3 linked regions of the Oryzias latipes genome follow. The protein of the gene in region 3 purifies or fractionates together with the protein of the main gene of each other region. This does not show direct contact. Links are inferred from orthologs where the notes say so. Each region holds a gene or a part of one and is shown on either strand. Other genes may lie near its edges.

The links.
Region 1: the proteins of mphosph6 (region 3) and exosc2 purify together in Homo sapiens (affinity purification with mass spectrometry; 8 studies listed by BioGRID and IntAct, with this or other methods). This does not show direct contact. The link is inferred for Oryzias latipes from reciprocal best matches to the Homo sapiens genes MPHOSPH6 and EXOSC2.
Region 2: the proteins of mphosph6 (region 3) and exosc7 purify together in Homo sapiens (affinity purification with mass spectrometry; 4 studies listed by BioGRID and IntAct, counting the BioPlex papers as one, with this or other methods). This does not show direct contact. The link is inferred for Oryzias latipes from reciprocal best matches to the Homo sapiens genes MPHOSPH6 and EXOSC7.

What each region holds. Positions count from the first base shown.
Region 1 is NC_019870.2:12,830,544-12,834,295, forward strand, and holds the start of exosc2 (exosome complex component RRP4), read right to left. Parts: upstream 2,313-3,752; 5' UTR 2,074-2,312; coding exon 1,952-2,073; intron 1,753-1,951; coding exon 1,651-1,752; intron 1,524-1,650; coding exon 1,478-1,523; intron 1,353-1,477; coding exon 1,263-1,352; intron 1,173-1,262; coding exon 1,107-1,172; intron 1,014-1,106; coding exon 945-1,013; intron 1-944. Other genes in the region: ric1 (RAB6A-GEF complex partner protein 1), read left to right, coding at 3,273-3,413. UniProt on the Homo sapiens protein: Non-catalytic component of the RNA exosome complex which has 3'->5' exoribonuclease activity and participates in a multitude of cellular RNA processing and degradation events.
Region 2 is NC_019869.2:5,728,139-5,731,890, forward strand, and holds the start of exosc7 (exosome complex component RRP42), read right to left. Parts: upstream 2,550-3,752; 5' UTR 2,468-2,549; coding exon 2,411-2,467; intron 2,318-2,410; coding exon 2,216-2,317; intron 2,144-2,215; coding exon 2,049-2,143; intron 1,368-2,048; coding exon 1,202-1,367; intron 131-1,201; coding exon 60-130; intron 1-59. UniProt on the Homo sapiens protein: Non-catalytic component of the RNA exosome complex which has 3'->5' exoribonuclease activity and participates in a multitude of cellular RNA processing and degradation events.
Region 3 is NC_019864.2:5,685,441-5,689,192, reverse strand, and holds the start of mphosph6 (M-phase phosphoprotein 6), read right to left. Parts: upstream 2,741-3,752; 5' UTR 2,556-2,740; coding exon 2,508-2,555; intron 2,467-2,507; exon of another isoform or gene 2,225-2,466; intron 2,117-2,224; exon of another isoform or gene 2,066-2,116; coding exon 1,953-2,065; intron 1,866-1,952; coding exon 1,775-1,865; intron 1,680-1,774; coding exon 1,582-1,679; intron 1-1,581. UniProt on the Homo sapiens protein: RNA-binding protein that associates with the RNA exosome complex. Involved in the 3'-processing of the 7S pre-RNA to the mature 5.8S rRNA and play a role in recruiting the RNA exosome complex to pre-rRNA; this function may include C1D.

The sequences.
Region 1 (3,752 bases), on a different chromosome or scaffold from region 3:
CGGGGAACGACATCACTCGTTGTTTGCGGAAGTAGCTAACGTTAGCAATGGATGTCAACTACAGTGTTGTCAACAGCGGAGCTCTTTTTGCAGTTTACATTTATTTTCAAGATGGAGCCAGCACAATTACAATCTTCTCATTTTAAGAAGGCATTGGAGCCAGGATCGTCTGTACCCACTGTGGTGGAATGGGGATGTGTATGTGCTGGGGCCGCGCGAGCACGTGTGTGTGTGTGTAAGAGAGAGGAGAGAGCACGTGCAGCGCAGCATTCCCTACTGCGCTGTGCGCATTCATGTTGTGTGTTACGGAGGAAGGACAACGATAATAAAAAAAGGCTGCTATTGACTCTTTATTAAACTGCTCTAGAGAATCTGAGGGTCCGAACGGGGAAATGAACGCCCAAAGGAGGATCCGCCTTCGGTCCCCCGCGCTTCTGACCACGGTCAGAAAGGGGAAAAAAAAGTAATTGCCAGGAAGGTTCAACCCCACGCTCGGCCATTTCGCTGGAATTTTTTTCAAAAAACCGCCCGGTTGCGATAAGAGCCCTCGAGTTTGGCCTGAATAGAGCTGTCACCCCAAATTTTAATCCAATCGGTGACCTTGCTTGCCTTCCAATGACTGGTCTCACCAGCATCGTCCGGCATGGTTGATGTTCATGTTCTTGTTCCCGCCTACTTCAACGCAGAATAATGACTTACGGGTCGGATACATGTGGCTTGGCCATTCAGACGGAGGTCGCATTTGAAAAGATCTGATCTGTGTCGCTCAGACTGTCATAAAAAGATCAGACACAGGTCGCATAGGGGCAGAAAAATTGGATTCAGCCTGCAGTGTGAACATGGCCAGAAACACAAATTTATTCAACATGTATAACAACAACAGGGAAACAGCTCTGTAAAATTTACCAAAAGGAGATATCAACATAGTAACACTGTGCACTTACTTTTCCATATTTTAAACTGCGAGTATGTAATGACAAGGCTCCATCTGAAAAAACAGACTGCACTTCTGCCTAAAAACAGTGAGAAAATACAGCAAAGTAGTCTTTAGTGACAAAAACTATGAGGGGGAAATGTTGGCAAAAAGACTAGAAAATCCTCTGTACACTTATGAGATCACCCTCCTGAAGATATTCTCTCATGGTCAGCTCATCTTCTGCTGATCTCCTCCTCTGTATAACAAAACAACAACAAAAAAGAGCATGCAGTTCAACTCATCCTGTAACGCTTCTCTCTCGTTAAACAACACAGTTCTGTCTCACCAGCTCTCCTCCAGGCAAGTTTACTGATGACAGCAAGAGGACAGAGTCCAGTCTGGAATTGGTTTCCACCTTCCAACGTTTCTGCTGCACCTGTATATAACCATCAAATCAAACAGATTGAAAAGATTATTAGCAAAAACAGATACAATGAATCCAACAACAAAAAAAATTGTTATCTCGTTTTGCCTTTTTAGAGAACAGTTGGAATAACTCACCTCTGTAATTCTGCCGACCACAACGTCTCCAACCTCGCCATTAAATCTAAAATGACGCACAAATGATCTTAAAGAATGTTTGCAAAAGTGGGGCTAGTCCGATCTGAATGGGTCAATCCACCAACCAATTCTATTGTTCATAAACATTGAAGATTTTTGTCCTTCACACTCACCTGGTCTTCAGTGGTCTGACACAGATGAGTTTGTCCACCCTCTGCACCTCTCCAGCAACTGAAGCTGTCAGCTTTTCTTCATCAACATAAGTGCCATGCCCCCTAGAAAACGACAAATTGTAGTTATGGTTTATTAAAATCATGTAAAGATGTAATTTCTTATCCTTCATCAGTATTCCATCAGATCAAAGACACATCTAAATAAGTTCTGGTGTGTTCTGAGTTTCTTTTTAGCATGTAGCTTACCGTACTACATCAGCGTGGTATCAAACACGTGTTCCAAAACGCAAGCAGAACCTACCTCATAAAACCTGTGTCCGAAGTGATGATGTCTCCGGGAACAACGAGATCCTTTCGGTCGAAAGCGGAAGCTGACAGAGACACCGTTTTCCTCACAGTCGGTAATCTCATATCAAGAGCCATGCTGTTACCGCAACTCTTCTGGTTATGGCTTCTTTCACACTCGTTTAAGTCAGATTTAAGTTTAAAAATGCAAAAAAAAATGGTGTACGTAGTTATTGAATCTTTGTTTTTGTTTTTAAATTAACAAATGATTACCCTATAAACTTGTAATAAATGCCAACCAAACAGCATATTATGCTAACACAAAACTTTCCTCCACTTGCTTCTTTGGCGTCTTAAAAGCGTGTTATAGCTACATTAGCACCTCCTTGTGGTATGGAGTTACTACTACAGTGTATCTTGTGCAGCACATCTTGAAATAATATCCATCCTCACAAATATTTATTTTTTATTCCAAATTAGAAAAAAATTCCGTTCTTTTTCATGCAGTTTGGCACCAAATTATTGTCCATTAATGTCACATTTGGTCTTCGATAAAAAGAAATCAGCTGAGTTCTGTTTCTTTTTTCGTATACTGTAACTTTATCATGTTGCTCACATTGCTATTTGCATGAGGTCATATTTATTTATTTAATTAAATATTTATTTATTTAATTATGAACAGTATGGGACTCCATATTTCTATTCTTTCTTTTTTTCATTAAAGAAATTAATGAAACTCCATGACAATACATTCTTTCTGGATGTCTTCTCACTTGACCACTAGGTGTCACCCTCGTGTCACGCAGCAGCCATTGTCACATAACAGAGTGGTGACGTTGGATGTCAACATTAAGCAAATTTCGTGCGGCTGACCAATCAGCGTTAAGATGGATAGACTCTTTGTAAAGATGGCGACAGTGAGGCTCAGTGGAGTAAAAACTGGACGCTTATCTCTTAATGAACACCACTGGTCCAGACAGCGTAACAACTGACAAAGCTCGGGGAGCAAAGCGGATTGGCCAGCATACTGGTACAGCGGGCACAATTTAGCGTTGCACGGTGTCGCGACGGGCCTCGCCGCTTTTGTTTTCGGGGACACCGCGCACCGCTCGCTAGCTTTAAGTTTGAAAATCCAATGCTAGCCCGGGGCTAGCCGTGGAGCTCAGTCGGCTGCTTTGGTATTTCTGTATGGAATCTGTGGATTAAACCTGCCCAGCGCCATCACCGGGCTCTTTAGTAGTGTTTTTGTCTCGACGAAAGCACTATGAGTCGCCCGTAGAGGCAACTACCGAGGATCTGGATTGCTGCGCTGCCTGCTCGAACTAAAGAGCGCCGTCATGTATTTTCTAACCGGTTGGCCCCGGAGGTTGCTTTGTCCGCTGAGGAGCGAAGAGGAGCCTTTCCAGATCCAGCCCAGCTCTCAGAGGTTTTACTTCGCCCTGGTGTCAGAAACCCAGATCAGCATCTGGTTCAGCCGGGTAAGTCGTGAAGTGAAGTGAACGCACGCGCTGCTCCAGCTGTCCCTGCACGAACACAATCAGGGGAGGTTCATTTAGTTTCTTTAGTTTATGCAGTCACTGTACGATCTTTATTAAAATAGTGACTCTGTGTAGGGGTCTTTTGATGATTTTGTTTTAAGTTTGTCTCTTTACGACCTGATGGTCAAACTTTACGACAAGCCGAAGCGTGTTTCGGTTTCCCCAGGTGTGTCGGCAAATACCTGTCCATCTATCGTGACGCTGACAGCTGACGACTGTTACACGTCAATACTCTTTGAGTAGGCCACATCACGTGGGGTTATTACGCACAGCCAGCAG
Region 2 (3,752 bases), on a different chromosome or scaffold from region 3:
GCACAGGATGAGCTGAAAACGTCTCCAAACACGACGAAATGTGAAAAACTGATACACACTTTGTGTTGAAGAGTGCCGCTTTGATGGCGACAGAGATGGCGTCGTACAGGTTGCCGTCACACTGCAGCAGCTGCAAACAAGACGATGCAAACGCCTTTATGAAGTGGTGGTTTTTACAAATCATTTGAGGCCTTTGAGGTGAAGCTCCGCCCCTTCTCAGGCCGCATTTCTTCTAACTGGCTGACTGACTAAGTAGACCTCACTTCCTCATTACACATCAGCTGCCTTTCAACTCATTTAGTGTTTCTTGAGTCCGACAAACCTCCTCCATGAAAAACAAACTGCATCCACTGCAGGCCGGTATGACTATTTGGGGTTTAAGGAACAAAAAATAAAATAAAATACATATTTCTTGATACTTTCACAAGTTGAAGTGCTACTATGGAGTTACATCAGTGTCTCTTAATTATTTTACCCAACTATGAAGAAATGACGCTTAAAATTAGAAAGAAAAAAAAACAACAGCATATAATTATGAAACTAGAATAAAAAAACTATAAACCTACAGTGAAAATGAAATAAAATTAATGTTTATTAGAAACTGGTATGTTTTTGTTAGTTAAACAAACGAAAAAACCAAAACTTCACTATATAAAACGGCAGCTGCTACAAATGAAGATCATTTTTTATTTGGTAACATTTGTAAGTTTATAGTTTTTTTAGTTTAAGTTTTAAATCTACAATCTTTGTATCCAATTTTCTGTATTTCTTCAAGTTTAGAATGTATAATTTCAAGTTTAACACCATTTCAAAACATTCTTCTTTTTCTTTTTTCAAGTTTACAACCTTATTTTTTCTTAATTTTAACCTGATTTGACCCCATCTGCTACCCCTCAGCAGCACAGCAGACATACTTCAGCATTTCATTTTTAATGCATACAAGGTAAACAAAACACTTGCTTAACTTTATTTAAAAAAAAAATCTAAATGCAGCAACAAGTTTTTCCTAAACAAACAAAAAACATGTAAATGTCTACTTCAACCTGTTTTTTTAACCCAATTTTTTACCCAAAATTCTAAAAAACTTAAAAATCATAAGATTTAGCATTATTACTGAATTTACGTCTATTGTTGTTGTGTTTATTGTTTTATTTTTAACATTTTTATGTTGTGTTTATATTTTTATGTTAAAGAGACTCACCAGGACATCTACATAGAGAACCCAGCAGTGCTCCCCAGCACTGATGCAGAGGCCCTTCAGGTCTATGCTGTTCTTGTTGTTGAAGACTCTGTAGAGAGTGTTGCTCAGCTCGATCCCTAGCTCCTCACCTCCTCTGCCTTCAAACTCGGGGGTGGCGTTGGCAGAGCTGGGGGTGTTGGGGAAAAAAATGTCAGGGAATCAAAAAAAAACATCAAACATTGACAATAACTCAGTTTGGTTCCGATTCTTAAACCAGAACAGCCCGGCATGGTCCTCATGAACACCCTCTACGTCTTAAAGCTGAATACCTGGATCAGGTGAGTTCAGCCAATCGGAATGAGGAGTTACAGAATCAGAAGAAAGCGGAGAGAAGTGGGGAAAACTGAGTCAATGGTGCAACAGTTAATCCCAGCAGTTATTAGTTTAGGAGTTTATTATCCTGCAAGATGATTTAAACAAAAACAGATATCCAAAATAAACTTTATTTTTAAAACATCCTCATTACTTTAAAATGCTTCGCAGGACAAAGACATCCTTCAAACTTCAAAAACAAACACAAAAAATATTTAAACATGCATTATAAGCTTTAGAACATGTAATGATCTCAACAAAAACATCAAGAGAGACTTCCCAACTTAGCCAAAAAGAAATCAAATATGTAACGGTTTAGGGTTCAGGTATTTCTAATATTTATATCAAGCCAAAAATGCAAACATTATTCATTTTAATAAACTATAGAGGCTATTCAATGTTTTTCTTTACTGTTTTGATGCAATACAATTCTGTCAAATGTCAAATTGTGCACATTTTGATGTCCAAACCTGCTTTAAATGCACACTAAACCTACCAATCAACAAAGAACTCCAGGTATCCTTCATCTGGAACCAGTGGTCTTGGTTTTCCTATTTCTGCTTTAATCCCAACCAGGACGGCGGTGTGTCCCTGAGAAGCACGATGGAAGGAAAATAAAGACACTGTTTCTGCGGATCTTTCACACGTAAATGTTGATTTTACCAGGGAGACTCTGGCAGATCCATCAGTGTTTGAGACCACATCCGTCTCCACTTCCATGTGTCGGTAGTCCTCACAGCTTCTTCCATCCACACGTAAATCATCCTGAGGAGAATACAAACATCCACATCTTTAGGTTGGTGTGACAACTTCACAGACATTTAGCTTAATAGAGCACACATTTCTAGAACAACTCACTCTTATTCCGTGTAGAATGTACACCTTTTCAGCCTCGCTAACTTTAACTGTTGCCATGTTAACTCAACAAACAGAAGAAGAAGAAACGGTGCCGGGAGGCTCTTCTTCTACAGTTTTCTCGATGAAGGAACTATGTCGCCACCACCTGGAAGAAGTGGGAGCTGCTGTTCAACATCACAAAATTTAATAATAATAATAATAATAATAATAATAATAATAATAATAATAATAATAATAATAATAATAATAATAATACAAAAACAATAATAATAATAAAATAATGACAATAATAATACATTTTTGAGAGTAATCTTTTTTTTCTTCTGTGTAGGAATGTAGATGCTTGTGCTATGTTTGTCCATATCATAAAGAGTATATAGACAGTTTTAAAATATATTTCTATTTAATTATATTCAGATTTTTTTATATTTATAAATGCACATATACAAAACAAGTTAGGGTGAACAATCGTTATAAATGCGCATATTGAAAAAACAAAACAAAATTTAAAAAATATGATAAAGGCAAGGCAAAAAACAATTCAAAATAACAGTACGTTTGATATATTTTGATAAATTACTGTAGTTTTCTTGTTTTTGTTTGGAATGCATTTAAGACACTTATAATAATCAGAAAAGTAATTCAAAAAATACCAAACAAAGGGCATGTAGTTTTCCATTTACATAAATGAATGAAATTTTTGCATTAAATAATAACAACATTAATGACATCAGAAATTCCTGGGTCCATATTTTCCATATAGAAAATAACAACAGATAAGGAAAAAAGGGAATATTTAAAACTTTGAGTGACAACCAATTGTGAATATCAGTCCAAAATATTTTTATCTGTAACTGTAACAGAGATGTTCTAACGTTTCAGTTTCAGATTAACAGAATAGGCATGGCTCCGATTGAAATTTGAATCTTTTATGTAAAAAAATCTCCAACAGGGTAAATTTGAGATATTATTTTAAAATGCGTTTCTTTCATTTTAGGTGGAAGTGGGTACTTTGTGTATAAAGAAAAAAATGTGTTCATTAGGGTGGTTTCTAAGTCCCGTCTATTGTTTATACTAAAGTTGCAGAAAGTTATTTGTTTAAAGGTTAGAGTTACTAATTTATTGGTGCATTTTTTTTTCATCTTTTAGGGGAATATCATTAATTTTCAGATCTGTAAATTGTGGTTTGATTGCATTGTATTGTAGTATGTATTGTCAGAAATATGATTATTTGGGTGTTTTTTGGAAGTACTTGTAAAAAAAATAAAATGATTTTAAATGGAAGAAAAATTGCCCTGCGTTTTGGCCAAAGGGGTGGATTTAATTTTAGACCATAATCTGA
Region 3 (3,752 bases):
ACTAATCAAACTTAGGATAATGAGGCATATTAATAAATATTGCTAGAAAGGGAGAGAAAGAAAGCGAACTTACATAATCCCACCCCGTTATACCATAACCATTTTATTACATGATTTATCAATATCCGGTTTCTAGCTTTTATCAGACAGAATTAAGAATCTTGAAATATCAGTAAAGCACATGACAAAGATGAATTACTTAATTGTAATGTAAAAATAACTATTTTAGAAATCAACAGAATATTCAACACTTTGCAAAATGTTTGGCATATCAGTGAAAAGCCGTAAACGGTTGAAGAGTAACGGTAGTTGAAAGAATCTGTTATTTAGATGTGACTGGCAACATCTCCAGTGTTAAAGGGTTCACTTGTAGAGGCTCCCACTGGGTAACGTCACTAAGCTACACTTCATGACGTTAGGATGTAGACTTCCACAGCTTCTCCCAGTGTGGCCTACATCCCATTGACAAACCTCTTAAATATATTAGTGATGTCATAGAATGGACGACAGCTAATTTTCTCAAACTCAACAAGGACCAAACAGAAACTGATCCTTGGGCCTGAAGCCACACTCACTTCAAAACTCTGGTATAAATGTAGGAAGATCTTAACTTTAAAATCCACATATCAAACACAACTAAGACTGCTTGTATTCCTTTAACAATGTTGCCTTTTATCATATCTAGACGGGACTTTTGTGATGCTCTTTTAATCTATGAATAGATTCCAGCTCGTCCAGAATTCAGAGCTCACATCCCTCCTGGCTTCCTGTCAGCCTCTGGATGATTTGAAGATTCTCCTTCTAGTTTATAAATGTCTTTTTGGATTGGGACCTTCCTATTTATCAGATCTAGGTCCTTCCAAAACCTCCACAACTCTCAGATCCTCAGGTTCTGCTCTCTTATCTAAACGAAAAACTGAGGACCAGGACCCACATTGAGGCCTCATTTCAGTACCGTGGTCCTCATCTGTGGAACCTGAAGATCTGAGAGTTTCTGCATCTGTGGAGAGTTTCACTGTAAATGTTCATGTAAATTCTCAAAAACGTCTTCATTTAATTCAATTATTTATTTGGGTCTAAAGTATTTCATGGCTTATATTGTTAATCGTTTGTACTTTTATTACTCTCTTTATAGAGCGCCTTCTCAACAATAACTAGTAGCCACAGTTTTCTACCATCTTATGTTCACCTCTTGATTGTTGCTGGTTTTATGACTTTTTATAATTTCAACCTGTTTGTTTTTTATGTCAAACACCTTGTGTTCTAAGCACGTTGAAGAAAGACGCTCCACAAATGAAGTGTTTGATGGATTGAGCCAAATGAGTTCTTTATCATCAGCTTAACTACCCGAGGATGGAGTAGAGTTTAGACCACTACAGAGCAGATTCCATTCTCTTCCTGCGGCTGTGTAGCCACGCCCCCAAAGCTTATATGATCGACATGAAGCGGGTCGACGTTTTAGACCCGGTTCCAGTCCTGGCACCAGTCAGGCTCTGGATCCAGAACTGGAACCGATCTGTTGAGCAAAGAGCAACCCTATCAAATAACATCTGAGGAGGACAGGAGGAAGAGGAAGTGTACCTCAGAGCCATCTCCTCATCTGTGATGTCTGTCTGCATGCAGCTCACATCCTTCTCCTCTTCATCTTCATCTTTTGGATTCAACAAGGTCATCAGTTTCTGTGAGGACAACTGACAGGTCAGAGCACACATGCACACGCACGTGCGCATGCACACGCACGTGCGCACGCACACGGTTGTAGGTTGAACCTCACCTCAACCTCTGGGTTAAAGCCTCTGAAGGAGATCCGGCCAAACTGCAAGTCCTCACAGGGAGTGAAGCTCTCCTCCTCCACCAGCACAGTCCTGATGAAGGAGCAGAGGTCACCATCATCCACACCTACAGGTGTTCACACCACTGCAGGCGAGGCGTGCACGAGCACAGACACGTACTCTTTGGTGCAGAGCTCGGGCAGGTCCAGATACCAATGCTCGTCGCTGATGATCCTCCTCTCGTCTTCCTCCAGCTGCTTCTTCGTCTCTGCATCCAGCCCTCTCTGCATGAACTGCAGCCACAGATGACACTTTCATGCATACGCCTACGTGCACGCTCTCATCTGCAGTACAGTATACCTCACGAGAGTCAGTCCACCCAGGTGATCACGTGTCTTAAAGGTTTACAATGCAACTATGTGAAACCGAGCACCAAACTAAATCTAACCCACCTGTGGTTCGTCATTCTTAACCTATTAACTAGTTATGACCACCTTTCAGTCGAAAGCAGACCAACCAAAACAGTCAAGCCCCAAACTATGCCCAGCTCTGACAAATTCAACCAGAAAGATCCTTGAATGGAGATAAGACAGGCCCCTGCCGAAGGATGAAGAACAAGAGGCAGAATTATGGACACGAACATCAGTTCTGGTCCATTTCTCTCACTCTGGAGCCAACAAAATGAATCGACGCTAGCGGCTCGCGCCGCAGCTAGCTAATGGTGCTAGCATGTACCTTCATGCGCAGCAGATTCTTGGAGAGTTTCACTCCGTCGGCAGCCATCTTTCTCCGGTTAACACAAACAGACTATCCGCGCTAAACTAACCTTAACTGATTCAACCTAACCGTAGGACGTCGTTGGTTTGGTTACTGCAGCAGAACAAACGCCCCACGCGCCGGAAAAGACATGTTGTCAAAAGTCGAGCATGCGCAATTCAGGCAGGCCTGATTAATCAAGCACCGAGGAATCGAGGCTTTTCCTTAAGTTATGTATTTATCCTACAGGTAATTTTTGATCACAGAACAGTGAAGTGCAAGCTAAAGAACAGGTGAATCAACGGAAATGCGTTTGATGTGTAGTTTACAACAAAATAAACACAACACATTATAGATAAACAGTAATAAACACGACAGTCAACAAAACCCAACGGGTCACGTGGCAAACATTCCAAAAACTTTATTTGTAAGTCGCTTTACAACAATCGCTGATTGTACCGAAGTAGCCTACATTTTGTAAAAACATAATTGAAAATTAATTTAAAAGATAAGCATGTCATATCATAAGACGAAAGATAAAACACAGGTCAATAATTTATTTTTATTTTTTTCTGTTTTGACTTAAAAAGAGAGACGTGGAACTCTAGAAAACCTTTAGTTAAAAGTACCATAGTACACTTGAAGTTTATTTTAGTAAGATACTTGTATATGCATTGAGCAAATCTACTATAGGCCTAGTAGTGTAGGAAGTATGCTAACTGTATCCTTCGTCAGACTTATTTGGAACATCTTAAGTTTACAATAAAGCATAGAGGTGGTACAAAAAATGTCAACTTCAACAGTGACATGTGATCAGATGAGGCAAGTGAAGCTCGGCCTCACTGGTCAATGTGATAAAATAGAAAAACGTACACTAAGTAAATATGATTTTCCTCTGATCCGTATTAAAGACACATTTTCAGTTGACTCGACACATTTCCCACAGTTTCTGAGGTTAAATTTGCAGAATTTGACTGTTGTGCGCTCACATAGGGAGCAGAAACTCCGGGTGAGGCTCTGGAGCGCTTCGCGTCATGTCTGACTGCAGGACTCAGTTGTAACAGAGAGTACGGTCAGAGCGATGACTGTAAGGGCGGAGAAAAAGCTTCCAGGGAGGCGAGCCTCGCCAGCGTTTGAAAATGAATAACAATAGATGGGTTATTTTCACCATAAACATTTGCTAAACTTCCCTGCCAAACGTGTTATGGATATGTCACAGAGGCG